4 linked regions of the Schizosaccharomyces pombe genome follow. The gene in region 3 interacts genetically with the main gene of each other region. Each region holds a gene or a part of one and is shown on either strand. Other genes may lie near its edges. The genes, in order: rad21, psm3, pph3 and rdp1.

Evidence for each region.
Region 1: of pph3 (region 3) and rad21, a mutation in one rescues a mutant of the other (synthetic rescue), as found in Schizosaccharomyces pombe (2 studies listed by BioGRID, with this or other methods).
Region 2: mutations in pph3 (region 3) and psm3 impair growth when combined (synthetic growth defect), as found in Schizosaccharomyces pombe (one study listed by BioGRID).
Region 4: mutations in pph3 (region 3) and rdp1 together harm fitness more than expected from each alone (negative genetic interaction), as found in Schizosaccharomyces pombe (2 studies listed by BioGRID).

What each region holds. Positions count from the first base shown.
Region 1 is NC_003421.2:1,339,137-1,346,981, reverse strand, and holds rad21 (mitotic cohesin complex non-SMC subunit Rad21), read right to left. Parts: upstream 4,090-7,845; 5' UTR 3,891-4,089; coding exon 3,858-3,890; exon of another isoform or gene 3,778-3,857; coding exon 1,924-3,777; 3' UTR 1,589-1,923; downstream 1-1,588. Other genes in the region: F-box protein Pof3, read left to right, coding at 1-1,588; SPOM_SPCC338.18 (uncharacterized protein), read left to right, coding at 5,360-5,713. UniProt on the Schizosaccharomyces pombe protein: Cleavable component of the cohesin complex, involved in chromosome cohesion during cell cycle. The cohesin complex is required for the cohesion of sister chromatids after DNA replication.
Region 2 is NC_003424.3:1,219,538-1,227,798, forward strand, and holds psm3 (mitotic/meiotic cohesin complex ATPase subunit Psm3/Smc3), read right to left. Parts: upstream 5,322-8,261; 5' UTR 5,300-5,321; coding exon 5,285-5,299; exon of another isoform or gene 5,242-5,284; coding exon 1,672-5,241; 3' UTR 1,432-1,671; downstream 1-1,431. Other genes in the region: Ino80 complex HMG box subunit Nht1, read right to left, coding at 130-903, 958-1,166, 1,218-1,260; rio1 (RIO family protein kinase), read left to right, coding at 6,062-6,188, 6,274-6,399, 6,502-7,742; autophagy-associated protein kinase activator Atg17, read right to left, coding at 7,879-8,261.
Region 3 is NC_003423.3:3,953,353-3,959,146, forward strand, and holds pph3 (serine/threonine protein phosphatase), read right to left. Parts: upstream 2,735-5,794; 5' UTR 2,578-2,734; coding exon 2,508-2,577; exon of another isoform or gene 2,393-2,507; coding exon 1,938-2,392; exon of another isoform or gene 1,904-1,937; intron 1,885-1,903; coding exon 1,363-1,884; 3' UTR 1,200-1,362; downstream 1-1,199. Other genes in the region: GATOR1-SEACIT GTPase activating complex subunit Iml1, read right to left, coding at 1-323; CIA machinery monothiol glutaredoxin Grx4, read left to right, coding at 4,152-4,886.
Region 4 is NC_003424.3:1,322,434-1,330,715, reverse strand, and holds rdp1 (RNA-directed RNA polymerase (RDRC) Rdp1), read right to left. Parts: upstream 5,776-8,282; 5' UTR 5,711-5,775; exon of another isoform or gene 5,631-5,710; 5' UTR 5,464-5,630; coding exon 1,816-5,463; 3' UTR 1,655-1,815; downstream 1-1,654. Other genes in the region: phosphoribosylformylglycinamidine synthase Ade3, read left to right, coding at 1-1,454; exo8 (exocyst complex subunit Exo84), read left to right, coding at 6,380-6,417, 6,464-6,521, 6,576-6,717, 6,761-8,277.

The sequences.
Region 1 (7,845 bases), on a different chromosome or scaffold from region 3:
AGTTTACGAAAAGTCAGGTCAATACTCACAAGCAGAACTTGATGCTAAACGGATGATTCATTTGAATGCAAGAAATGCTAGAGGTTACCTACGCTTGGGAAAACTTTTACAGCTTGACGGCTTTGATAAGAAAGCAGATCAATTGTATACGCAAGGCCTGCGAATGGTGCATAAAATGGATCCCTTGAGACCGGTATTAAAAAAAGTAAGCCAAAGATTGAATGAAAGAATTCTTCGGACCAGGCCGGTACTAGATTTGTTTCGCATTCTTCCCCGAGAAGTCCTATTATGTATTCTACAGCAACTAAATTTCAAAAGTATTGTTCAGTGTATGCAAGTCTGCAAACACTGGAGAGACTGTATTAAGAAAGAACCTAGCTTATTTTGTTGCTTAGACTTTTCATGCGCCTCTCCTCGAAGTGTAAACTCTAGAGATCGAAACGTTATGGCTGTTGCTCGATACTCTGTTTATTCAAAAGACAATATACAGGAAGTAATTGGCTTAGAGAAGCTTGGTATATTAACACCTACCAAAGCCTTACTTCGTTCAGTCAAATCACTTAAAGTCTACAAAACCATTTCACCTCTCCACACTCAGTCAACGGATAAATTGTATACAATTTGGACGCCATTTTCTGAACTTCACTACTTTTATTGTGCTACTCCTATAACATTTTCCATAGCTTCTAAGATTTTATCTTGCTGTAAGAAACTCAAGCAGGTTGAGCTTGTTGACTTAATTCCCGATTTGATATTTGATTCTATGGATTGGGATAAACTCTTTAATGCAGAATCTGTACCGCTGGCTCTTAAATCTTTGACGTTTATCCGAAATCAAAAGTTTCCCTTTCACCATAAAGAACAGCAATTTCTTAAAGACTTGCTGTCTGCCAGTCCATATTTAGAATATCTGGAAGCCTCATATCAGTCAGACCTAGTTGCTGCAATAAAAAAATATAAAATTAATCTCCGATCGTTAATTATCATTGATGAAGGAGTATCGAATACTGTTAAAGATCTAGCATTCCTTCCTCAATCTCTTACCACGTTAATTGTGAAACCCTGCAATCCTGCATCTACAATTTTATGTCCATATTTATTCCCTACAAATGTCCGGATGGAATCACTAATCAACTTAGAGTTATTTCTTTATCTTCGTTTATCTCAAAATGATATCGATAATGTTGTCAAATTTTTGACTTCTTGTTACAAACTAAAAAAGCTGGTTCTACACGATTCGCTAGCATTGGCCCCCCATTTCTTTGAAATATTTGCATCTTTACCGGAACTTGAGCATCTTGAGATTCCTGATAACGTTGCTCTTCAAAATAAGCATGCAATACACATTACTGATTGTTGTCCAAATCTAAAGTATGTGAACTTTTCAAATTCAATATCCCTCGATGGATCGGGATTTATAGCAGTTTTACGAGGACTGAAAGAATTAAAACGTATAGATATTATTAATTGTGATTCTGTTTCTAGAGATGCAATAGATTGGGCGCGCTCCAAAGGTATGCAAGTTACCGTAGCTTCCTCGCTTCCAAATTCTCAACCATTGGGTACAAAAAAGATACGCCTAATATAATATGATCATATTGTCTTTATATATTCAATCCTAGTAAACCCGTATCATCGCATTGAAAGGAAGATTTTTAAGAGATAGATCAATCATTGAGAATAAATTAAAAAGCGCGTAAGCTATTTCTAATCATAACTTTGTGTTGAGCTGATAATATTACATACATCCAACAGTAATATCGTAACTCGGAAAAAGAAAGACATACAACTCGTGATTCCAAAAATAAAATAAAGATAAAAGAAAGCAATGAACAATATTACTGTCATAAAAATCTATTTCGTGTAAGTATTCACACTTATTTATAGATCTAATTGGATTTTGAAAAAATATTAACCGACCTCTCATAGTGATGAAAGTAGCATTCCACGTTTAGCAGTAAGCGTGATTTCGTTCTGAATGGCAACATCCTGCTTGACAGATATAACATCCTTCGTCGCTAAAACGAGGACATCAAAGAAAAGTTGAACAGCTTCCTCTCTATTGCATCCCGCACTAAGAGTTTGGAAGGATACTTTTTCACCTTCAGTATAAGGATCCCACTTATTGCGTAGAGAATCTTTGGCTGTTTGTGAACTAGGAAGGGCCTCAGATACCGAAGAGTCCAATCGTTCGCTTCCCAGCAAATCGGCCTCGTCCAGCATTACGGGAGGAGCGTCAAAAAGTGAATCATCGGCTGATTCCAAGGCAGTAACAGGAAATCCCATTGGCGAACCAAGCTCAGGAGCTTCTCCTTCTGGTTGAACAACGGTTTCTTGTGGTAAAGTAGCGATAGCGGCTTCAGTAATGTTGGCAAGCTCAGCGGCTGCAATTTCTTCAGGGTCCAAGACTTCAGCAGTTTCTTGGTTTTCAGTTGAGGTATCAGTACGTTGGTGCTTGGCAGGCTCGACTTCCTCTGGGCTCTCATTTTTTCTCTTTCTTAGAATTGCCTGTTTGAAATCAGCTTGCAAAAGCTCGTTTACTTTAGGGTTCAGGTTGGAAGAAAATATGGAAGTATTAAATTTACCGTTTCGAGTAAAATTAACGGTGGCATTAAACACGATGGAAGATGTATTCAAGCATAACGGTGAGGTGATGGAAGATGTATCTGCCAATTGTTTTTTCATTTGCTTGGAGGACAATTCAGTAACGGGATCAATAATTGCACGTTGACGACGTACAGTTTTCTGTGGATTGATCTTTTCCTGTTGAGGAGCAGTGGCGCTTTCAACAACCTGACCTTCCTCTACTCCTGCTGCTGCAGGACGAGATGAATCATCTTCCATAATGTCAGAAGGGAGATGAATACTTGATGTTTCAGCTTGTTCATCAGCCTCTATCGCCGGAGCATTAGCACCTTGTTCATCTCCTAAAAGATCATCTAAGCCCAAATCCAGGTTTAAATCATCAACAGGAGCCAACAATTCATCATCCAATGAAGTTCCTCCTATTGGTAGCATGCTTGGCGTACTAAAATGAGTGACTGAACTAGCCGGCGACTTAGTCATTTGAGGCCCAATAATTCCACTTAAATCGGTGGCAGCAGCAGCAGGAGCATCTCTACCTACTTCTATAGAAATTTGGGACTGATTATCAGAGTGCACACTTCTAGGTGTAGCAGCACCGGAATTTGAAATGGGAAGATGAAACTGCATATCATTGCCAACATGTGCGAATGATTCGCCCAAGGAAAACCCTGATTCTACTTGGGCATTTCGTCCAGCCTCAATTGATAGCTGGGAAGATGGAAAAGAAGGAGAGGAAGATATTGGTAAAGAATGTAGTTCAAGAGTGTTCGAAGAACGAGAGGGTGTACGAAGAAGTTGAGACCATTGAAAATCAAATGTACTATCAGGTACCAAAAGATCAAACTCTGTAATTGTCTCAGGAAGAGTGAGATTAGCGCTCTGTGTCACAGCATCTTTACCTTTTAAAGATTGGAGAGCAGTAGCTGGTTCAATCATATCAACCTGACCCGGTTGAAAGGACATTTTCAAACGCATCAACGCTTCCGTACAATCCTCCAATAAATACCTAGCCTTTCTGGAATAAATGCGAACAACACCCAACATTAGTTGTCCTGATAGGCGAAGGGCCATTGGAGCGGTTTCCTCCGTGACAATTGCATGGACGCTTTGCTCAATACTGGTGTGCAAAGTTTGCACTTTGGAAAGTTTCTTTTCCCAGTGAGCTGCCAACCATACCTTGGCCAAAGGACCCTAACGCGAACAGTTAGTCAGACGATTCAAAGACAAATTAGCACTGTTTACGCGCTAAAGAAAACTTATAAACTACATACCTTTTTTGAAAGAATGGCCTCTGAATAGAACATAAGAAGCTTAATATGATTAGGAGAAAAAGATAGAAAGAAATTAAAGAGTAAAGACAAAAAAAAGAGGGGAATCAAAAAAGAACAAAAATAAACAAAAAATTAATAAATATTAAAATGAAAGAAATGCTTTCTTTCGCAAAATTCGCCTCCTCACTACGATATAAGCTGGGTATTTGTAAAAATGAATATACGTGGTGCTGGTTAAATGAGTACGCGCTGCGCGTAAATAAATCCACGTTGCCATGCCGACAATGAATATGATACATAAACAAACTAGTATGTGTAGCAACAAATAGTTAAATAAATGAATAAAAAAAGCTTGTATTGAAGTTAGAAACTGTTGAGCATGATCAAGGGAATATGCTTCCTCGAAGAAGTTGATTTATCTTTGTTATATGCTTGTATGTTTCGGCCTACTAACTGTATTATAAAATGATGCGCTAGATTTACGTTCACATATGTGCATAGAAGGCAACAAAAGGCATTTGAATTATGTTATTCAATTAAAATAGTCATAAGACATAAGGGGATATGTTTTTCAATAAAACGGAAAACTCCGATTACAACCTTGTTTTAACAATCTTGAGTTAAATTTTGACCATCCTTATTTTGGAAGCATTATCCTTCCATTGAATACATTTATCAAATGAATTCCATTCATTAATTGCATCTTCAATGCCATTTTTTCTGTATGATTAAATAGACTCGTAAAAGGATGTTTTCATCCCATTTTAGTAATGTCAAAACACATTACATTAAACGAATATGTAATAGAAATTACCACGACTGAAAATTTATTTTATTTCTATTATATTATTGTCAAAATTAAAAGGTTGATTGTGACTCGTATGCCAGAAGAAGGTTAATGAATAAAAATACTTATAAAAATAAATAAATTTTTTTTTTTTGGGTAGGGTGTTTTTTTTTAACGATAAACCCCATCCAGATAAATTCGATAAACAAGCTAATTTATTTAAAAAATCAAACAAAAAATAGAAAAAGGAATAGACAAGAATTCCATCCATATTCGTCTAGCAAATTCGATTTTTCCATTTCCCAATAGTGGACACTGCGCAAAACAGTTCCCGTATGTTTTAGTGAAGGGGAATTCGAGTTTGACTGTTGGAAGAAGGCAATTCGCTCATAAATCATTTTAATAAATAAAATGAATGTATAGCATTATTTTCGCCTCTGCAGAAGTTTAATGTCATTGTTCATTGTTGGCAATATCCAATGTGGGGGAAGGCGTAAATAAAATGAATACGTATATGTTTCTAACCTTGATTCTTGACTTTTCCCAACAACGGTTCACTGACTTTAAAAGAGAAAAAGTATAAATTACTAAAGCAATTGTTACATTTAAATAGATTGCTAAGGACTATTGTCTAATAATACAACAGTTACCTTTATTAACGTTTATTTTTCTTTTGGAACACATTGAATATTAAACTAAATTGCCACAAAACAAAATGACTGAACAGAATATCGATATCAAAAGAGAATTGAAGGATGAATCTCCAATTGGGCAATCTCCACATCTAGAAAATGATGGTCGTCCTAGTCTTATGTCGCGCTATAGCTACTCGTCTATTGAAGAGGTATCCAAAGAGGGCTATCAATGGTTTAAACATCAAAGTGTATTTCTTAAATTTAGCCTAATTGTACTTTTATTCTCGTTGATGTTTAGTTTGACGTTTGGTTCGTTGCTTGGATTAATTAGCCTTGCTTTGGGCTTTCCTAGTGTGGGATATCGTTATGTGCTTCTGCCCATATTAAATGCATTATTGAACCGTTTAAGACTTAATTCCTCCGGTTTGAAGTAGTACGAAAAGCTTGATTTCTTTGGGTCTCCCGTTTCTGCTTTTTGTGTCCGAATTCAAAATGAATCATCATAAAAAGACAGTGTTCTTGTTTACCTGAAAGCGATGAGTAACTTACCCTGTTGTATCTTAGTTTACGACGATCCTTGTATAACGACTGGAAAATAAAAAAAAAAAGTCAAAAAACTGTGAATATAATAAAAAGTGATTTTTTACTTGTTTAAATTACAGCCTAACCTGTTGCAACCTTTCAATATTCTTTCCATCTTCAAAACTACTTACCCACCCTTACCTACTTGTTTTAACCGTGTCGCCATTTTTTAACTGCCAAAATTACGGGCGAAACTCCAATACCACATATTCCCTTTTATTAATTTATTTAGCAATTATGATTTAATACAAATTATCTTTAAGATCTTCAAGCTCCTTTTGTTACTAAAGTTACGTTTTGCTTGATAGGCCTAAGTGAGTTTATCTTCATCTGATAAGAAGATAGCACTTTATTCTCCAGAGGATTCTGACTATTTCAAAAAATGCACAATTATTAGCAGTGCCTATTACTCTTTGTTATGCCTTTTATATTGAACGAATTATTGAATAATCATGACTATAAATCTAAAATATACCGTATTTGCTGATTTTAATAGTATACTTTTCCCTAGAGACCCAGCTTTTTTAGTTAAACATTAAGACTATAAACAAAAACAGGCTTTTACTAATAGCTCGACGTACATTATTTGGGTTAAGAATTCTTGATGCAGTTAGATGCAGAGATGGTTTTTTTTAAGCCATAAACGTTCATCTTGTAACCCTTGATTGTTTTTTTGATGGATTCTAATGTGCTTGAGTGCGTTATATGTTTAACCATTTTAACATATGAGTGTAGATGGAGGTTGAGCCAATATGTATAAAAATAGACATTTCTGCTGGACTTGAGTTCGACTCCAAAATTCTTTCAACACGTAACTCACATTGCCGCGATTACCTTGTAACCTACAAAAAATACTCAATGCTACATGGTCCTTCAGTTGGCAAAATGTATTGAGAAACCCTACAGTTCCTTTTCTTAAGCAAGCTGCTTAATTGAGCCTGCTACAGAGAGTCGTACCCATACCATACCCATGTACGCTATATCAGCCCACTACATATTAGTGCAACCAATATCATGGATGAAACAACTATGATTTCGCGGATGTTTTAGCACAGCAATTATCACTTAAAATCTATACCCAGATATCCTTTTGTTTTCCAATAGTCGATGATGATTCCTCACATTCAGCAATTATTGAGACGCTGACAAATGGACTTGAGCGTCTGTCAGCCAGTTTTCCGTGGCTAGCTGGTCAGGTTGTTCACGAAAGTTCAGAAGGAAAAAGCTTTAATATATTCAAGATTAAACCGTATGAGAAAACGCCTCCTTTCTTTGTCAAAGATCTTCAGCATGTCCCTTCTATACCCTCCATGGACGCGCTCAGAAAAGCCGATTTTCCTTTCAGTATGCTGAACGAAAGTATTTTCGCACCTCGCAAAACGATTCCAGGAGATCCTGATGAACAAACGTTAGGCTCAGATCCAGTTTTCCTTGTCCAAGCCAGTTTCATCACTGGTGGTCTCGTGCTTACGTTTGTCGGTCAGCACAATGCAATGGATATGACCGGCCAAGGTTAGGTTATCAACCTCTTTTCTAAAGCTTGTTGCAATGAACCATTTACTAGCGATGGTAACCTTCCCCGTTACAACCTTATCCCTTTACTCGAAGACTCTTACGAACCAGGTTCTGAGATGGATCATTTCATTTTGAAGTCACCTCCTTTTTATTCCGAACTTGAAAGCGTTGATAAATCACATCCTCCTCCTCCTAAATGTATTTGGAGTTACTTTTGCTTCGACCATAACTCACTCACCGCTCTTAAAACACTGGCTACAAAAACTCTCCCCTCGTCGTTTGCCTCAGAATATATATCCACCGACGATTCCCTTACCACATTCGTCTGGTAAGCCATTATTCGCTGCTGCATTTCTCGATTGAACCCTACAGCCACATCCACACTTTGTCGTGCTGTTGATGTACGGCAGTACTGCAATATTTCACCAACGTATCCAGGACTAATGCTTAACATGAAGTCACAGAGATG
Region 2 (8,261 bases), on a different chromosome or scaffold from region 3:
TTTGCAAATGGCAAGGAGGAGGAAAATATATTGTGGACAAACTATTAGTTTCTAATCCAACCTTTAATATTGAGACACAAAGTTTAAGCATTGCCTCATTGATCTGATGCCTGCATCAGAAAGCTCTTTTTAAGCATTAGAGGATCTATTAACAACGGTGAATCCTCCCATACGAATTGGCTCTTGATTTTTTGGAGGTAAAATAGGCGAAGTGGTGGGTTCAGAAACAGGTTCTTCATCTACTTCCTTCTGCCCTTTTTCTATCTCATCTATCTGATTTTTATCACTAACAGTGTCTTGTTCTTGATCTTTATCCTTTTGCTTTTCTTTAGCTTTCTCTTTCTCTAGTTTTGCTGAATTTTGCGCACTTCGTCGACGTCTTGCTTCTCTGGCCTTCTCACGCGCTGCAAGCAATCCTTCATGATAAGGTTTCTTCTCTTCTTCGGTCAAATTATTCCATGTATCTTCAAGAGTTTTCTTCAAAGCTTGTCCCTTCAAGGTAGAGCCTTCGGCCTTTAATTTTGGTTTTTGAATAGACGAAAAATGGTTGAATAACATTGTGTCTGTAATTTTGGCATTAGAAGTAGCTTTTTTAGCTCCAGATGATTTTGAGCTTTCTGTTTTAAGATTTGTAATAATAGGAGAAGGTATTGGATCAGTATTCGTAATTTTTTCATCTTTTGATTGAACAACTTGATTTTGCTGCTCAAAGTCTGCATCTGTGTCATTGACGGATGCATCTTTAGGCTGGGAATTATTTGATGATTTATGAGATATTTCCGACGTGTTGTTTAATGCTACGTTTGTATCAGATGTTTCTTCTGTAGATATCTTTAACTTCTTGGCAGACGGGTTTCCAGCGCCTTTCGTTGATATTTTGATTTTAATACCTTCGGGAGGAGGCTACATATGATTAGTACAAGTATTACAATAAATTCACTCTATAAAAACACTTACAGGAGGAGATGGCTCAGAGCGCTGTCCAAATTCGCGAGATTTTGCTTCACTTTGCAATTCCAACTGTTCCATTAAGATAGCTCTTTCTAATCGGCCACGCTTGACAGCTCTTCGAATAACCTCATATTTGCTTAATAACTCCTGATTTCCTTTTTGGATCTCCTGAATTCTAGCCTTTAAATCCTTGCACTTTTGGCGATATTTAATTTCTGAGTATTCATTAGTAAATGAAAAAATCAATCAAGCTTCAAAATATTCACCTTCCGATTTGGAAATAGATACATGGTATGGAGGGTTTTCCATGGATATAGATGCTCTGCCTTTGATCTTGTTCGCACAATGTAGTAAGTACTGTCGCGAATTAAGAGCACTGACTGGAGGTCTAAAATAGCGAATTTATACAAGTCTTAACGCTACGACATGCTTTCGATTTTTTGAATACAAATAGAAATCTGGAAAAAGTTATTAAAATGACTCTCCATTGGGATTAGAACTTTAAAAAAACTATATGTGAAAGTATCAACTCTGGTAGTAATACGCACTGATTGATTCAAGCGCAATTGCATCATGAATATAAAAATTATAAATTAAGTATGATAAAATTAAATAACAGAGATATTAATGAAAGAATGACTAATAGCAAAAAGATCGGTTTGTCCACGCAAAGAAATTAAAAAGAAAAATGCGAACTTAAATTAACAAACCATAACCATTTTATCCTTCAACGAATGCCATAGCCTCCTCCTTAGAAATCGACTCAACTGTTGAAACTTTGTGATTAAACATTACTCCGTAAAAATTGTCCGCAACTTTCACCATCTCAGGCCGAAAAGTAGTGCAAATAAATTGACTAGTTTTTGACATCTCTTTGACCATCGCTGCAATGGCCGAGCGATATTGTGCATCTAAATTAGCATCACATTCATCGAGTATATTAAAAGGCGCAGGATCACAGCGTTGGATAGCAAAAATTAAAGTTAAAGCACAAAGTGACTTCTGACCGCCACTCAATTGATTAATATTCAGTTGTTCATCATCCTTACTGTTAAAAGAAACTCTTATGCTGATACCTGTATAATTGTCGATCGAGCTTTTCTGGGATGGCGTATCAATGTCCATGGAGATGTCTTGTTCGATGCTTTGACTCAATTCACTTCTTCTATTCATAACCAATTCACCTCTACCTGCCGGAACAAGTTTAACGAATATTTCAGAAAAGCTTTTAGCAACTTGTTTAAAGGTACGCTCAATTGCTTCATCTTTTCTTTGGTCAAGTACTGTCGTAAGCTCACTAATTGACTCCTGAGAACGACGCAACTCTTCTCTCCTAGCCAACAATGAATCGCGTTGTTTAGTAAAATTATTAAATTGCTCATATGCTTTCTTATTAACGCTTCCATAATCTTTAAGGGCTTCGTTGATTTTATGAAGTTTCTTCACAATAGCATTTGAGCTAGTTGAAACATATTTAATAAATGCTTCTTCCGGCAAAACCCCCAATGATTTAATTTTCTCGTTACATTCTTTTTTCCGTGCGAGAAGCAAACTTCTCTTTGCTGCGTTTCTTTCGTTAATTTTTGCATCTTGTTCAATTCGGGTAGCCACTTCGTGCTGCAATTCTTCTAGCGATTCCAATTCATTTCGTTTATCGCTTATTTCAGAATTGATTCTTTGCATTTGTTCCTCCAACCCAGAAGATGAAGATTTAATAATTTGCAATTTGTTTTCATACTTAAGTAGAGATCTCTTTACGCTGTTCAATTCTGATTCGTCTATTCTGTTATCAGAACCAATTTCAGCTTTCAATGGATTCCTTCTTAAATATAAGTTTGTATTTAATTCATATTCAAGAGCCGTCTTTCTTGCTTCTATATGTGCTCGTTCTTTAATGATGGCATCAAACTCATGAGAGAGATTTTCAATTTGACCACTCAAAGACTTTAGTGCTTCCACATCTTTGGGATCAAGTTCATCCATTTCTGAACTTAATTCAGATTTCAAGTCATTAGCTTGTTGTTCAAGTGTATGTAGTTCCAAAACAACAAGCTCAAGCATACGACTTTTATGATGCATTGATTCTTGAAGATCTGTTGTTTCTCCAGTAATAGTTACGAGTTCATCTTTAAGAGGAATATGATCTCTTTCAAATTGCTTTAAACTTAGTTGAGCCTTTTGCAAATCATCTAAGCATGCAGTAATTTTTTGGTCAAAAGATTCAATTTCGGAACGACATTTCTCCAAACTTTCTTGTAAATCCGAGAATTTGATCTGGTATGTTTTAACGTTTTTGATAGCATCCAGCCTGGAATTTCTATAATCACGATACCCGGCAGTTAATGCACCTTTTTTGTCAGATCGATCACCACTTAAAGTAATACCGTTTAATTGATGAGATCGAGCATACTGGGAGGCGGTCTCAATCGATGGACAAACAATGGTTTTCGAAAAAACTTGTTTAATCGCAGCATCAAACTTGGGATCGAACTCTAAATATTGAATTAAAGGTAAAGCATCACTGGCATCAGGATAAGTAACCGCCTTTGGACGAAGCTTGTTCAAAGGCATGAACGTAACTCTACCGGCATTTTCTTTATATATAACGTCAAGAATTTGAGTTGCGGTTTCATCGTTATCTACCACGATATGAAATAGACTGTTCCCAGCAGTAGCCTCAACAGCGACCTTGAAACGGTTATCAACCTTGAAAAGCTCACAAAGTGGACCATAGTAACCTTCGAGTTTCAGACGTTCAGCAATGTCTTTGACAGCTCTAATACCATTACTTGTATTCCGATCCATTGTAGTCCCCAAAGCCTTCTCAGAACGAGAAAGATCGTCCTTAACATTTTCGATAGACGACTTAAGTTTGGCTTCTTCTCTCCACAGAGATTTCCTTTTGTCCGTCAAATTTTCTTTCCTTTCATTAATTGAAGTAATGTTAGCAAGTAGTTGCGACATTCGATCACCTTGAGATTCAAGGGAAATTTCAATTTCCTTTTTACGAGATAATTTTGCTTTGAGTTCATTTTCCATTTCGTCATACTCAGTCTTCAAGTAATCACTGTTCTCCTTTGTAGAATTAATGTTACGGTTGATCTGTAAGAGCTGATTTCTGATCCATTCATCACGTTCTTTTTTGGTAGTGAATTGAGAAGTCCTCGATTGCTTGTCCAAAAGTGATTGCTTCTGATTTTTGAGCAGCATGATTCTTTTATTAAGATCATCAGCTTCAGATACTATAGCGTTATACTTTGGAAGAATTTCTGAAAGCTCATTTTCTTTCTCAGAGATTTTTGACTCTAATTCAGAAAGTATGTTGAGCTTTGAGCTCTCATCTTTCTTCGAAAATTCAATTTGACGTGATAATTGAGAAGACTGTAATTCCAATGCGACTTTACTTTTCATAATATTGGTATAATCCTCATCGTTTTGCTGTTTTTCAACACGTAAAAGCTCAAGCGAGTGGTTGAGCTCTGTAATTTCAGCCTTAATTCGTTCAATGCGTTCCTCTCTTTGAATGAAAGCACCCGAATCATCATCATTACGCTCAAGTGCAGCTATCCGGTCTTGTTCTAAGGCATCCAATACGGAGTTAATCTCATCATGCTCGCGAGAATAAATAGCATATTCCAAGCATCTTCTTTCGTTGTCTTTTTTGTGATAAACTGCAAGATCGTTTTTCTCCTCTTCTAACTCACGCAACCGTTCTTCAATGTATTGCAAAAGTTCATCAATTTTCTCCGATTTTTGAATTGTCTCGTCCATAATTTTATTGGATTCAGCTCTTCTGTTCTCATAAATTTGAGTACCTGCAACCTCTTTTAAAAGTTCTAAACGCTCTGAATCCTTTGCATTGGTTAGGGATGTGACCCTTCCTTGAGGAACAATGTAGTAAGGATTGGATCTTGAAAACCCAGCAGACTCGAGAAGATTAATAACCTCTGTCTTGCTTACAGTTTTCTTATCCAAAGAGTATTCGTCTTTTTTCAATCCAATTGTACGACGCAAGACAACTTCGCTTTTACCGGTGGGAAATCGATTATCAGCATTAGCGAACGTAACTTCAACGTATGCGCTCATGACAGTTGCACCAGGGCCTTCATGCAGCAAAGCTTGTCTTTCTTCACGGCTTAAATGTGTATACGCATCACTTAATACGAATCGAATTGCAGCAAAAAAATTGCTTTTACCAGATCCATTTCGTCCCACAATTACATTGTGGTGAGGGCTTAAAGGCTCTATTACAGTATAATCTTTATAAGATTTAAACCCTTGAATAACAATCTTAATAAATCAGTTAACTGGGGTTCTATAATGCTTTACTTACTTTTGTGATATACATAGATTTGTGGTTGGTTTGGGTTAAAGTATTTACGCGTCGCGTGTCTTCTTTATGGCGTGTAAGTATCAATCTTTGTGGTAACAGAGTTCTAAGAATCTACAACATAATAATTCATTCATACTAACCAAGATGAGAAATTCTTTGAGTTGTTGATGTTGATTTTGTTATGTTTTTTCTATATGAAACTGTATTAACTGAAGATCGTTTGCTTTTCTCTTTACTGCCGCATCAATTTCCAAATATAATATTTCTTTATTAAACTACTGGGAATGCACAATCAAATTGGTAGAAAGCGCGCTAGCTTAATTGAGTATGTGATTTTTTAGATGCCAAGTATGCATTAGTGTTAAATAAGCAAGCTGCTCTTGAGCGTCAGCGTTTCAGTAATGAATTTAAAAAAATGCATATATGAGCTTATGTATTGTTTCTTTTCTATCTGACTTTTTATTGTCAAGCTTTAATGAGGAAAGCCGCTCACACTAACATTAAATGTCTTTTGGAAATGTAATATATATTTTATTGATCGAAGAATGGAAAAAATATAATCCACTAAATTAAAAAAAAAATCATTGGTTTGCAAAAATCATCTTGTAACTTATGGTAATCATAATTTGCTAACTTCTTACATTTTTATATACCAGTTTTATTTACAACAAAAAGTTTTTACTACCACCTACAAAATACAAAAACTTGGATTTGTATCCAGTTCTTTGTCAAATTTTTAAATAAATTATTCTTTTATTGATTTATTTAAAGTTTAAGATGGTTGAGGAGTTAAAAAACGATGCACAGACAAATGAAGAAGAATCAGAATATAGCGACTTTAGTGATGGCTCTGACAATGATTACTTTAGGGAAGACGATATAGACTGGAATCAAGCTTCTTCAAGTAAGTTCATATACTGAATAGCCAAAAGCACTTTGCATGAATTTTTGTTACCATTTTTCATGATCATTAATAACATTTTTACTAGATTATTCTGCTAGACAGGAAAATTTTGGGAATAATTCTTCTAAGATCAATTCAGTTAATGATCACGTTTCTACGCTTAGTCGTTATGTGAATAATATAAAATTAAATGACAGGTTTGAGGCAGAGGGTAAGTGTAATATAGTTTAACTGCTCATAGGTTTTAGAACTCGAGGTCTTTTGATCCTTCACACTTTTACATTTTCATGTTTAATAGTACTGACAAATAAAGACAAGTCATCTATCAAGGATAAAAGTGACCGCGCTACATCTGAACAAGTGCTGGATCCCCGTACTCGAATGATTTTATTAAAATTAATAAATAATGGAACTATATCAGAAATTAATGGTTGTATAAGCACGGGAAAGGAAGCAAATGTGTATCATGCAACAAACGAGGATGGTAAACATTTTGCTATAAAAATTTATAAGACTTCAATCTTAGTATTTAAGGATCGTGACCGCTATGTTTCTGGAGAATTTCGTTTTCGTCATGGGTATAACAAGCGCAATCCCCGAAAAATGGTACGCTTATGGGCTGAAAAAGAAATAAGAAACTTGAAGCGTGTGGCTGCTGCTGGTATTCCTTGCCCAGAGCCAATCTTATTGAAGCAGCACGTTTTGCTTATGTCGTTTCTGGGGGACAAGAAAGGATGGGCATACCCCAAGTTAAAGGATATAGATATGACGCCTGGTGAGGCTACTAAATTATATCAGCTTGTAGCACGGAATATGCGTATTTTGTTTCATGTTTGTCATCTCGTGCATGCTGACTTGTCAGAATATAATTTACTTTATCATAAAGGTAAAGTTTATTTTATTGATGTATCACAATCGGTTGAACATGACCACCCGCAGAGCATCGATTTTTTAAGAATGGATATTTTAAACATTTCTACATTCTTTAGGCGTTTGAATGCTGGTTGCTTATCTTTACCTCAATTATTTAAATTCATTACTGAAGAAGGAAGTTGTGAAAAGGAAGCCATGAAAACCCGGTTAAATGCAATTTATGAGGAAGAACCTACTACAGAAGAATACGAAGAGGAATTCTTAAAAACTTATGTTCCTCGGACTTTAGATGAGGTATACGACATTGATCGAGATACTGAAATCGTAAACGCCGGAGGTGTTAATAGCCTTGTATATAAGCACTTATTAAATACAGACTTTCAAAAATTGGATTTAAATGACACTACAAAAAATCAAAACGATCAAATCCTCCCAAATGAGACTTCGGAGAGCGATGATGATGCAAATTCTATAAGTAGTATGGAAAATGAAGAAGAACGGACTTCGGATTCAAAATCATCTGCAAAACAAGGTAAAGGAAACGGACGTGCAAAGGAGACACCGGAGGAGAAGAGGGCACGGAAAAAAAAAACCAAAGAAGATAAGGCTGAGAAAAGAAAATCCAAGATTCCGAAGTATGAGAAGAAGCGCAAACTAAAACAATCTGGAAGAAAAAAGTAATCAGGGGAAAAAATTACGGTTATTTTATATAATTATCTTTATTGGAAAAGTCTATACAATACTCATAAACTAGTAGCATAACTAAAATCATTATACGTTTATAGACTTTAAAAATCGTAAAATATGGCTAACAGGGTCATCGCTTAGAGGCTGTAGTAGAAGATTTTTCACGTTGCTTCGATTTCTTATCGTTTTTATCAGGAATTACCTTTACGTTTGGCAATTCTGTATATTGGTGCTCTATAATTTCAAAATGTAAAGGAGGATCTGTTACAGCTCCCCATAGAGTCTGGGGTAAATAATCACCATATTGATTGAAAAAATCGATACGACATTTCGCCTCCGCCTGTTGTTCCTTCTCCAGGCGTCCCACAAATTCGTCCACAATGGATCTTACACAATTTTCATAGGTTTGTCGTCTGTGAATTTCCTGAAGGAGAGCGGTATACGCTTTAGCAAAATGTGTGTAATGTCTTTCAAGCTGCACGAGTTCTTGAGCTAATTGCGGAATCTCCAGGC
Region 3 (5,794 bases):
ATTTTGACAACCACCGGTTCACGATTTTTTATATTGAGCAAAGAGCTTATGTGAGATACAACTGAAAGTTGCAGATTCGGATGTCGCCTCTTTAAATCATCTGTTAAAGGGGAGGGCATCAAATATACTGGTTCTTTTTCACGTTTAGCATGTAGTTTCCCTGTGCTTGAGTGATTATGCTGTAAAGCGATTTCATCACCATTTTGGGCCCTTATTTCAAAAATATCACCAGGTTTAGCAGAAGGTACTAAATCATAATTTAAGACTGCATCGTTTGGAAACAATGATGATTCGTGCGTCCACAGGTTCAAGGTAATAGCCATTTCATGAATTGAACAACCTACGCCATTAAGGCAGTAATCAAAAAATTAAATACAAGAATTGTATCAAAAAAAGAAGTAAATAATCTCTTTACACAACTTTATACGTTTGATTTTGATTAGGCGGATGTTGGGGTAGAGCTGCAAAAATCCAGTATAACACCAAGATAAATTGCACTAGTAAACACAGGTTACTCTTATCATAAAATCAAATAGTAAATGTTGCATTTATAAAGGTAGAGCATAATTGTGTATATTATATGACTCATGACTAAATATTTAATTTAAGGCAGAATGTATACTACTTGCACGAATACTTGATTGTCTAAGACACAATCATTAATATACCAGCAAGCACTTCGTTATCTTTTTTTTTTTTTTTTTTGTGATACTGTATTACTTAGAATTTATTTGAAAAAAATGTTTCTATCATATCGAATGTTTAAGATGTAGGTGTTCTTACGTTTATACCTCGTATATCATTGACTTTATTCTATTGACTTCAATATATGATATTAGATTACAATTCAGTGATTGAAACAGAGGCTGAATTCCAATTGTTTATTTCATTTTTTGGCTAACGGATTTGTTGAATTGGGGTGCAGTCTAAACTACAAAGACTCAAACCAGCTGACTCAATAATGTAATATTAAATTTTCAGCATTAAGCTTAAAAAATGATATTCATCACCCCAGTTTCTGAATTCAGGTTTGAAGTTCGATCAAATGAGGATTAATGTTTGAAAACCGAGCATTTTGCAATCTACTTTAAATTACCTTCAGAAAGCGACTAAACAATCTTGTGCGTTGAAAGTTAGCTTAAAAAAGTTACAATTAAAATTTAACTTAATTACTTTTTAAATTTATGATGTCCTAAACAAATCAATATTGCTAAAATAACCAAATTCCATAAACAAGAATTAAATAAGTGCAGAATTAAAAATGAGAGACCAATAAGAAGAGTTAAGGGGATAATCTTTAGTACAAGTTGACCTATATACATGATATTGGGGAAGTGAAGTAGAGCAATGAATTTTGAATAATCATAAAAAGTAGTCGGCAATGGGTCGTTTTGTTGGAATGCCAGATCTTTCTTGAGAGGCAGTACCAAAAATCTTAAAGGATTGCGTTTGGTTTTCATCAAGTTGTAATATAGAAGCAACATTTCCACATCTGTAACAGTAATTGGGTGCACTCCAAACAGTAACCACGCTTCCTTTATCCTTTTCTGGAATGGTTATTATGTCTCCAGGTGCCGGAGAATCATCAACAGGTGAGGCAGAATCTGAATCCAGCTCAGAGTCCTCTTCATTTGTAAATTTGGGATACTGTTTATCTTTATCGGAAAAATGGATTTTGTAACCCTCCATAACCAATTGATGAGCACGAGCAATGAATGAAAGGTCATTAGCGCGATTAAAAACTTCAGAAACGTCGGCACCAAACAAAAATCCAGCACCTCTGGGAGATAAACCCCATCCACTAATATCTTCTGGATCTGACCAAAGTAGATCACACATTGCTCCTTCATGCGGAACTTCTTGTTTTCGATCCAACAGTCGAATCTTCATAAAAAGCGTTAAAAGTTTAGTTCAAATTTTCGGAATTAATAACATACCTGATCGATACTGCTGATGCTTGGTGAAAGTCCACCGTGCACACAAAAAACCTTTCCATCCACCAAAGCACCAAGCGAAAGATAATCAAATATTTCACAACAATATCGCCATACATTGGCAGAACCATATTTCCTTACACATTCGTCATAAAATCCATAAACTTGTGTTATTTGTCGTGATTCATGATTTCCCCGGATAAGGGTCATCTCTTTCGGATATTTACATTTTAAAGTCAATAACAGGAGAAATGTTTCTACAGAGTAAAACCCTCTATCAACAAAATCCCCTAGAAATAAATATTTTGTACCTGGACATGACCCACCAATTCGAAAAAGCTCCAGTAAATCATGCAATTGGCCATGGATATCACCACAAATGGTTACAGGAGATGAGATCCATTGTATGTTAGATTCCTCAATTAAAATATCTCTTACACGCTGACAAAGTTCAACAACTACCACAAAACGTTAGACCCCATTCTTATAATTATGGCAAAGAACAACCAATATGAATGATCGTTGTTATATCGACGGAGATAAAAGTTATTCTATAAATACTATTATACATACCATTTGATTCTGGAATTAACCTTCCGTTCTCCAGTTCCTCAAGTTGCCAATCCAAATCTAAATCAGTCATTTTGAACTCGTCAAAACATAAAGTAAAGAAAACTAGAATAACTTGGTCCTTTAGAATAAGAAAATAAACAAGTGAAATTCTTTTTCAACTTTATGTATCATTTAAGAAATTTAATTTTAAATAAGTCAAAATACCTCTGTCAAGAGGTATGACGCGTAGAGCTTTGGTGACTAAAATTCGGTTTTCCTTTTGATAATGACTTTTAAAATAATTAACATGACCTCCTTAATTAGCAGCTTCCGAATTTTATTGACACATACGTTGCGTTACGCTAGATTGTTTTTCAGAAAAATACGGTTGCTCCACCATTATTAGTGCTTTCATCTCGAAATGAAATGGACACAAGTTTTTGTATTAGATTGTTTTTTTTTAATCATTTATACTTAAAATTAATGATGAACTAGAATCTTTTAATTAAGTTGCATGCTACTCCAGTATGATTATTATAGCATGCCGTATTATCATTGATCTTGAGTTTTTATAACGCTAATACAAGAACGTGCACCTACTCATATATATATCTAGATTATAAGAAAAACTCCTATAGTTCTAACGGATCTAAATTGTTCGCACAAATGCGCAGCTTTGATGTTATAGGGTTTTTGTGAAATAAACTACATAACACTATAGCTTCTTGGTAAAAATCAGATAACACTCACAATTATAGGTAAAATAATCTGTATGCTGAAGGCGTACCCCTGTGGCGGAATATACACTCAATATAGAAAAACTGTATAGTCAATTCGTGTTGCAAACCCATAATTTATGTGAAGCTTTAACATAATTTGCATACTATTCTTTACTTATGTTCAGTCGGCAACTCAAGATGTTCAAATAACTAAAAAGATTTTAGAAATATATTCTTTCTATCTTTCAATATGGTTTACTGCAATTTGCGTACTATCAAAAGAATGAGGTGTGTAAGAAATGCTTGCCCTGAGCAGTACAATGCAATTTTTTAATACTTTAACTATATCAATCAATGTGTATGCTGTTGTTTTTATCAAGTATGAAACATATCTCATCTTGGTTGTTTTGGTCGCTTGTTATAAACTCATTTGGCTAGTAAAGCGACTGTTAATTTTATGTACAACATACAAAAATAAAATGTTAACAGAATTGTTTGGGTATTACGTAGAATCGGAGTATAAGCGCAACACACTAGTTTTTTTTGCCGAAAAAATTATTTTCCAGACGTTTTAATACCGAGGGATAAAGTTATCTGATCAGTCACGATGGTAATTAAAAAAATGAGATCGAGAATGCCGTTTAATGAATAGACAATGAAAAAAGTGAAGAAGAATCATCAAAACGTACATCAAAAGTGGTTTAACTAAAAAATTTCGAGTAATTTACTTGGATATGTTTTTTGCTGCAATTATATCATTTGCGTCGCCTATTGTGCAAGGAAGAGATTTTACTAGATACGTTTTCTACACTGCTCAGCCGAACCTGCCGACAACCAACTAGGAAAAAATAGGGCGTTGATTGTTGATTAAAAAGAATAAACTAGGTTTTTGAAAAAAAAAGTAGGAAAAGAAATAATTCCTCAAGCTGTGCTATTTTGATTGGAAATGAGCGTCGAAATTACTTTTGTTGAACAATTTCAAGAGATATTGCAAAATGGAAAAGAGCAAATAATTTTACTCAATTTTTATGCACCATGGGCTGCTCCATGCAAGCAAATGAACCAAGTCTTTGATCAATTTGCAAAGGACACGAAAAATGCCGTTTTCTTAAAAATTGAAGCTGAAAAATTTTCCGATATAGCAGAGTCGTTTGATGTAAACGCTGTTCCTCTATTTGTTTTAATCCACGGAGCAAAAGTTTTGGCTAGAATTTCGGGGGCAAATCCTCAAAAATTGAAGGCTGCTATTGACGAGTATATTCAACCCCTTATCTCCCAAATATCCTCTACCAACGCGTCCGTGGAAACTCAAGTAAATTCCGTTCAGACTACCAACACTACTTCCAATACCTCTAAAGCTCCAAATGGGTTGGATTCTGAACTAAATGAAAGGTTGAGCACGCTAACAAATGCTCACAATGTTATGCTCTTTTTAAAGGGTACTCCTTCAGAACCTGCATGTGGTTTTAGTCGTAAGCTCGTTGGATTACTTCGTGAGCAAAACGTTCAGTATGGATTTTTTAACATATTGGCTGATGATTCTGTACGCCAAGGTCTTAAAGTGTTTTCCGATTGGCCAACTTTCCCTCAATTGTACATTAAAGGTGAATTCGTCGGTGGTTTAGATATTGTTTCGGAGATGATTGAAAATGGTGAATTGCAAGAGATGCTTCCCAATTAATTGTTATCTGTGCATATGAAGAATTGTACTTTTAATATCCTTAATCATTCTTTTATGTTGATGATTTTGTGAAAGATAACTTTTAAATTGGATAATCAGATAATAATACGATTGCAGATTTAGTTTTCTGTTAATTTAATTTTGTTAACTAACCGCCTCAACTTATCAAAACAAATGTTAATAAAACTATATAACATAAAATGAGTTTAAGCAAGTAAATAACGCATAATAAGCAACCAGGTTAATTAAGAATACACAAAGGAGCCAGAACTACCATTGCAACTATTACTTCGTACACTTTACCATTTAGCAGTACCCCCAAATTTCAGAAAAAATAAACAATTAGAGTATGCAATACAACTGCGCCAGTATCCACACAAAAGAACTAATCGACTACTACACCTTTCTCTACATTTTATTTCACAACTTAAAAACAACAGATTCTCATTCACGAACAATGCCTACTGCTCACATATTACATGAAAACCGAATACTGCTTAGCTCATCATCTACACACTTTTTGACTATGCACATCAAGTTATAACAATTCTCACAAACGATTCACGACAATTGTTACAAAGAAATGTACAGAAAACACGTCAGAAAACACCAGCTGCCCTACATGACACGACCAAAAGGAACATATCATGTAAGAGATCATCGCAAATAAAGATAGCACAACAATTAAGCAAAAAGCCAAATCGATCAGCACATCCTCAAAGAAGTAAAAATTCTCACTCTGCGGGCAACGGTGCCTTCTATCATCATCCGTGTTGAGTTCTGTGGCTAGGTTAGGAAACCCAAGCCGGACGTATACTATAGAAATGATCCTATGGAGTATCGTCGATGGTCTTCAAAATCGCGGACGATGCCTTTTTATAGTAAGTATTTGAAAAAAAGCAGTCACT
Region 4 (8,282 bases), on a different chromosome or scaffold from region 3:
TCGGATCCACCTCATTGATTTTTATTGATTTAGCAAATGGAAAACAACGTTTAGGCGGTTCTATACTTGCTCAGTCCTATAAGCAGTTGGGTGATGAGGTGCCGGATCTTGATAATTTAGACACTTTCAAGAATTTCATTAACGTTATTACTCAACTGCATAAAACCAACTACATTCAGGCTTATCATGATAAGTCTGACGGAGGTTTGTTTGTTACTCTTAGTGAAATGGCTTTTGCCGGTCATGTTGGTATTGAATGTGAGTTAGATTCTTTGTCATCCGATAATATTGCGGCTTTGTTCAATGAAGAATTAGGCGCTGTAATTCAAGTTTGTGATCGTGACATTGCCAAGGTATTGGAGTTATTTGCTGCTAATGGTTTGAGTACTTGTGTTCATCGCATCGGTAAAGTACTTTCCGGCCAGGCTCAAACAATATCTTTTAGCCGTTCTGGTAAAATAATCTTCAAATCAACTCGCTCTAAATTACACGGAATTTGGCATGAAACCTCTTATAAAATGCAAGAAATTCGTGACAATCCTGAATGTGCACGACAGGAAATGGAAAATATTGCCGATAATAATGATCCTGGTTTAGGATACCACCTTACATTTGATCCAAATGTGTCAGTTACCGCTGATTTGGCTTTAACTAGTCGTCCCAAAGTAGCAATTCTTCGTGAACAAGGCGTAAATGGTTATTTGGAAATGGCATATGCTTTTTATGCATCCGGTTTTACTGCCGTGGATGTTCACATGACTGATATCCTCAGCGGTAGAGTTCATTTGGATGATTTTGTCGGTATTGCTGCTTGTGGTGGGTTTTCTTATGGTGATGTTTTAGGATCTGGCAATGGATGGGCTACTTCCATCCTTCTTCACGAAGATGCTCGTAATGAGTTTTACCGTTTCTTTAACGAGCGTAAAGACACATTTGGTTTGGGTATTTGTAATGGATGTCAACTGTTCAGTCGTCTGAAATCACTTATTCCAGGAGCTAAAAGCTGGCCTATGTTTACATTTAATGAGTCAGCGCAATACGAAGGTCGTGCAGTTATGTTAAAGATCGATGAAACAAGTGGTTCAAAATCCATTTTCACTGAAAGTATGGCTGGATCTAGTTTACCCGTGGTCGTTGCCCATGGAGAAGGTAGAGCTGTTTTCGATTCAGAGTCCGATTACGAACAATTTAAGAAGGAAGGTTTGGATTTGATATACTACGTTAACAACTACAACGAGCGTACTAGCCGTTATCCATTCAACCCTAATGGAAGCAGAGATGCTATAGCTGGTGTTCGCTCCCCTTGTGGTCGCTTTTTAGCTATGATGCCTCACCCTGAACGTGTAGTTTTGAAAGTTGCAAACAGTTATTACCCTCATTCGAAAGCTAGCGAGTGGGGCGTTCATGGTCCTTGGATCCGTCTTTTCCAATCTGCTAGAAAATGGGTTGGTTAAAGCATTTATCTTGCCCGGAGAAGCTGAATTGGAGTTCACATGCCGTAGTTTCTTTACAGTTTTGGTTTGTTTCGTGTTACAAAATTTTATAATTATTCTACTTAAATTAATGGTGAAAATTAGATTAAGCTTGGCAGATATAAAAATCGTTAATTATACATTATTACGATTAAATTGCTTTAACCATCGAGTATATGTGTAAAAATTATGACAACTCTTTTCCTTCAGCAGAAACATACAACAGTCTTGTTAAATGTTAACTCTAGCTACCTGTTTTGCTGTTCTATGTTCCATTGTCGATAATGAGTACAATTACTATTAGCCTTTTACGAGCAATTAAAGCTTCGAATGTATATTCGATTTAAAAATTATTAGCAGTAAGCATGGCTTTTCGTGAAAGCTGACAAAGACGACTAGAAAATAAATATGGAAATGAAATCAATACCTCAGTAGTGCCATTGCCAACAGATTTGACACGTTGATCGTATGTCACATCGTAAGTGGCAGCAACCGCACTGTTTATCCGTTCTTCATATTCCGAAGAATCAAATGCCGATTGATTTGATAAAGCGCATTTCTCTAAGTACTCTTGAGTGTATTTTTTCTTTAGAAGGTCGAACTGAAAGCTAACTTCCTCCCTAAGACCATATTCATTTACGGTTTTAGCTAAATCATCTTTAAAAAGGATAAAAGCTGTGTAAACTTCATATTCTGTGGAAATATCAAAACGAGCCATAATTGATCTCAGGTCATTATCATAGTGTTTCTTCACTTCTTCAGCTACATTCAGATATTCAGTTTTAAACCTTGGAAGTTTCATACAAGGATCATAAACAGTATTCATTATCGGATTATAAGTTGCAGGTCTGCCACTTTCTCTTTGGAATCGTGCAGCGTATCTGAAAATTTTGCCAACCGCGGTTTCGGAACGAAAAGAACGAGTTTTTGTTTTTTGCATGAAGTCAGGATATCGTTTGGGATGGTATTTGGCTTGCATTTTACAAGCTACTCCCGATTTAGCAAAATCTACAGCTTTTGAATGCATTTCTGCAAGTTCTAAACACACATTTCCAAATATCCCTTCCGGATTATTATCATGGTCATGGGCCCATGCCTTCCAAGCATTTGAAATTAGACCTAGCGAATCATATTTTATATAATTCACAAAAAATTCTTTTACCGAATCGATAAGTGGCTTTCCTTCCAAAAAATCTATAGACTTCTTGGGAGATGATTCAAGCAATGGGGGATAATTAACAATTTTAGGAAGAAGACGTTGATCCCATATAACTGTGTACTCATCCCCATCCAGATCACCACCAGAGCACATAGCAGGAATGCTTCGATCACCCGTTGTCGGAAACACTATCACATTTTTTAAATGCATAAGCTCATCGCATCTGACAGCTTTACAGACACGTACGTCACCTGGATGAAGCGAGGGATTCCTTGCAACAATACACAATCCAACTATAACCCTTGTTTTCAGCTTTCCAGTTGAATATGAACCAAAACTGGTAGAAGTGTCGGTAATTTGGATGAAAATTTCAGGTACTGACAAAACAGCATCATCATAATGACCCTTTAGTGTTCCAGTTTCATCAGCTACACCAAGTAAATAGGCACCCTTTGGAACACTAACTTTTTGTTTTTCCTTAATTAACCTAAGAACCCATTCATAATATAGATTTAATAAATTCTCGGTGAAAGCATCATCTCTTTCAAGGAAACCGGCCTGGATAAAATCAGCAATAATTAAAGTAGAGTGATATTCATCTACGTTGTCCCGTAACATTAAAATGGATTTTTGTTTGCTGTTTATCGATTCGTTCATTTTTGACAACTGACTTCTAGTCAATTCCAAAAATACGGTTTTTTCAACCCCGAGTCCTTCCAATAAGGTGATCAGTTGCATATTCAGATGGGCATTTGAAAATCGAGATATTTTAATAACTTCCAAGGTACTATGGAATGATTTAAATTTATCTTGACTACGGCGTGGAAACACAAGATTTCCTTGATGGTATTCAAGCTTAGTCGGAGGAGCTAAAGATAAAACGCCTTTATAACCACCCATACGAAATTGAAACGCAGAGGGAAACATATCATGATTTTTTACTTCCAAAGAAAGTCTTCGAATTACAGATAATGATGCCATTCCAACCCCATCAGTAAAGCAGTGGTTGTTACGAACAATATCATCCTGAAGGGATATGTCAACACAAAATCGATTAATTTCCTTTGTCGTTGAAAAGCATTGTCCCATCCTTGCTGCATACTTAGATACTGAATTGATTTCACTAAAGTCACCCATCCATTCCCTGATCTGTTTGGCATTTAGATCAGATCCCGAAGCAAAAAAGTAAGCACCATGCTCTCTTAATTGAGAATTTCCAAAAGCTAAAAATTCGTAAATTTGATTACCAACTTTAATTCCGTAGGTTAATAATTGTTGGATGCGAGAATACAATTTTTCATTTCTAAACCCATCAGAACCGCCTCGAATTTTTTGCTTATAGTATTCATCAGTTATTTGCACACGCATAAAACGGTTTGCAAAGTCCTTAAAATTTCTTATAACACGATTTCCTGCTTCTAATGAGTCTTCAACTATTCGAAGAGTAGTAGGTGTAACGTACAATTTTTTAATGTGAATAGAAGAAGCGGAAGATAAATCGTAAAAGACAAAAGACTTAGTAAAATCTAGCTCAGAAGGATTTATTAAAGCGGTTTTGGACGTTAGAATTAGTCTTAGGAATTTTTTTGCTCTCTCTTTCGATAATTTCTTTAAATTCGCCAATATAATGGGCAAATCAATTTCTGATAATAAGTTTTTAGAAAGGCAAGCCTGCAAAAGATAAGCAATCTCTTCCTCAATTTCTTTATCATTTATTAGACTACAGCGATGTTTGTAGTCTGGGACAAGATGGAAAACCACTTTATCAAGTTGACTTTTCAAATTGAATTTTTCCAAGTTGTGTAAAAGAAAGGCAATGTCATCTTTATCAGACTCATCCCTTATGGAAAAGCTAAGGACTAAAACATTGCAGCGTCCAATGGGGGCGTTATGGCAATTAAGTAGCTCTATAGGACTAGCAGTCGTTGGTGAAACATTGAAAGGTAGAATATCATAATGTCGTCTCCAAAGATGAGATGCAGTCCAGAAAGTTTGAACTCTGGATTCAGTTGCATTTTTAGATTTTCTGAAAATTAGTGGAGAAAATCTAAATCTAAATACGAGGGAAATATGATCATCGTAATAATCCGTCCCTACATCGCCTATTATGGAATGAAAATCGAAGTCCAGACGAAAGGTTTCGATCTGTTTGTCAAAAGAAGCATCAAAGAGAACACAGAGCTTTTTGAAATTAAAATATACAAGTAAGTTTGATTCAGTTACAGTTATTCCACAATCAACACCAAACAGTGGGACAATTCTTTCATCATAAACTTGCCCGAGCTTAAAGGAGGATAACGGGATTTTTACTAGCTGATCGCTTCTAAAACTATTCTTAGAGAAAACTTGTCGGCTGATGTGGGAACGATGTGCTGTTATGTCAATTTGAACAGCTAGATCAACACCTTTGACATTTATTTTCCCATTTGGTTCCCAGAATGGAACTTTGGGAGGAGGAGCAAATTGGACTATTGCAGTAGTACTTGTCTGTCCATTCAAAGGTTCATTAATCTTCATGAATTCTATTGTACCGTAATCATGAAGGGGTTCCCACAAGTTGTATAGTTTTCCTCCCTCATTTGAAAGCCAAGTAACTGGAATATCTTTTATGACAAGTGTAATCATATCCCCCAATCTCCAAGTACTACTTCTTTGGATTAGACAATTATCATTTCGTTTATTAGCCGAGTGCAACTGAGCTTCATTATTGTGAACGGAAGCCCATTTCTTTTGCTTTTTGTTTCTATATGGGACTCTAAGTCTTTCCCAGGGTGACTCACGAGAATAACGTTTTAATTTAACACTTATAAAGTCATTTAACGAAACTGCCATTGCTTTACATTGCCATACAAAATCTGGATTTAATTATAACCCTGACAACAAATCAATTTGGAACCTTTTGTAAAAATAAAACACTAAATCTCATAGCGCCTTTATGCAGTATCAGCAGCCTCGCTCTGCGAAGTGGTCTTTTATCATAGAAGATTCCTTTCAGCTGGCTATAAATTCGTTAGATACGAAAAACCTTCGATTTATATAAAAAAGATTATAATGTTCCTATTTATCCACTTATACATACATGTATATGTGTGCCTTTTTAATTTAATTGACCGTTATAGTATCAATATCTATGAATTGCTCTTGAAGGAAGTTTGTAGCACGGTGGAATAAAGTTAAGTGAAGGCTCCTTTACGTATAGGGAAGTAGAATCAAAATACTAAGAATACATATTCATCCTATATGAACCGGCAAGTTGAATTTCAGTTTTCAATCCAAAGCAGATATTGAGGTAGTTTTTTCACCAAGGAATAAAAAATTGTTAGGAAACTTCCATCAGTTAAACGACTGATATCATGCACCTTAATTCATGTTCAATATCGTGTTATAATATCTAGCTGATATTTACTATAAATTTATTTTTTAAGCATGGTATATAATTTGAGCTACGTAGCTTTACTCGTTTCAAAATTAAGTGCAGCCCTGATATTCCAAACCCCTCGTCAGCGCTTGATTTTACAAACACGTCCAACTACTTCGGCAAAGCAAACAACTTAATAGATTTTTAAAAATAGAGCAATTGCTCAAGGATAAATTAATTTATTATTCCTATTTGTAAATACCACAAATAGGTTCTTCATTCCCTTATTTTAATTGGTAAATTGTTAAACTTATTTCAAATGTGAAGCATTCAATTTAACATCCTTTAGATACATAATATTTATTCTTCTATCAGAAACTTGAAAAAAAAATGCCTGACAATCCATCTTCTTTTGAAGATGAATTCATGTACGCAGCTAGAGAATATCGGGTGTTTGAGCTAATTTTTTGTTAGGAAATCTAATCATTTAAGTGTTGCTTCGGAGTCCATACCAAATGAAAGCCAAAGACAGGTATGTACTGAAGTTAAATAAAAACAACCTATTACTAAAACTGCTTTTTAAAAGTCACCGACGCGATTACGAGTCGGTACCTCTAAAACAGATGATATTTATCGACAAAAACGGCAAACAAAACATATCATTTCACAAAATGAAGTTTTTTTACAGCCTAAATTTTTCGATAATCAAAATTTTGATGCTCAAAGCTGTATGTGTAATTATGTCTATTGGAAACTAATTTTGCAAAAAAGATTTAAACGATGTTTTACAGGACCTTAGTGAAGATGAATTTGTGTCTTTATACAATAAGCTTCTACGCATTCACATGGGCGTCCGTAAAAATTTGGAAAAGAATTTTTACAAAAATTTGAATGAATATGTATTTATATCAGGGGAGGTTGAGAGCATGACTTCAGATTTTAAAAAGTTTCAGTCTCTGTTGAAAACCCTGGAGACTGACATTGAAGGATTAAACTTGGTCGACCATACGCATGACCCTTCCGACGAATCAATAAAACAAACGGTACAGAGACTACGATCATCCATTGAAGGGCTAGATGAAGCATTCTGGGAAGCGCCTCAAAGACAGCTTATATGTGAGCAATACAATTGGATGTTAATCAATATTGACAATCAGAGACCTAAGCTTCTTGTCAATATGCTTCTGTTTAATGATAGACTGTTGGTTACTACTTCTCACATGAAAGAAGTTGATTTCCCTGCTAAGCAGCAGGTTTTGTATAATTGGAATTTAACCGAAATTTCTATTTCTTCAATTGAAACTTATGGACCAGCAGGTGCTGAAATGCTGCAGAAGGAGAAAGAGGTCTCTCTATACAAACTGTCAATTAACCATAACAATAAGACCACATTGTTGGCAGTACACAATAGTGAAGAAAGGGATTATATGGTTCGTCAGGCTCGCCATCACCAGCTTCAAGAACTAGAAAATTGGTCTAGAAAGCATGATGAAGATCTCGAATTTAGTCGTGAACTAGAATATCATACTAAATCGGAACAAGCCGATATGTGTTCGTATACATCCTTTCAAGTCCTTTGTAAAAATCTGGATACTCAGGACATCCTTCAGGCTTATGCCAAACAGAGAAACATGGTAAAGGAAATATCTATGCAATTTGATCATCTCGACATACAAATTAGCTTACAAGAGTTTACGGATGCTATTAGAAATTTGGCTTTGATACAAAATAAGCTAGAGCGTGGTAATCTAAACGAGTTGTTTGCCGAATTTTTTGCAGATAAACTTCACAATAGAAAGCGAAAGGTGACGGAAATTTTACTTCATCAACTTGGATTTAAAGGAATCAGTCTTTCCCACGGGAAAGAAATAGTTCGTTATTTACGCTCTTTAGGCCATGAAAAGGAGGGACAAGGTGTATTTATGAAGTCTAGGACCTTATTGATTAAAGAAAAGTGTCTGAATGTTCAATTGGAAAAAGACACTCCTAATTTCATCGATGCTTGCGCGTTCATAGTGTTTCGTTGTTTAGCGCAAACTACTAGTTCTTATTTGCAATTATTTGAGTTGAAAAAATTGGATCCCGCTTACAGGAACTGGATTTTTCAGCAAATTGAGGCTCTTGTTGATTTAATAGAAAATCAATATAAACATTTAGCCCACGACAGATCATATACGGACGCCGTTTCAAAAATAATGACTTATAACACGGAATTAAAGGAAGCTAAAATTGATGCCATGCCGATATTACAGCGTCTTTTTGATGTTCATTCTAAAGATTTAAAATAAATTTT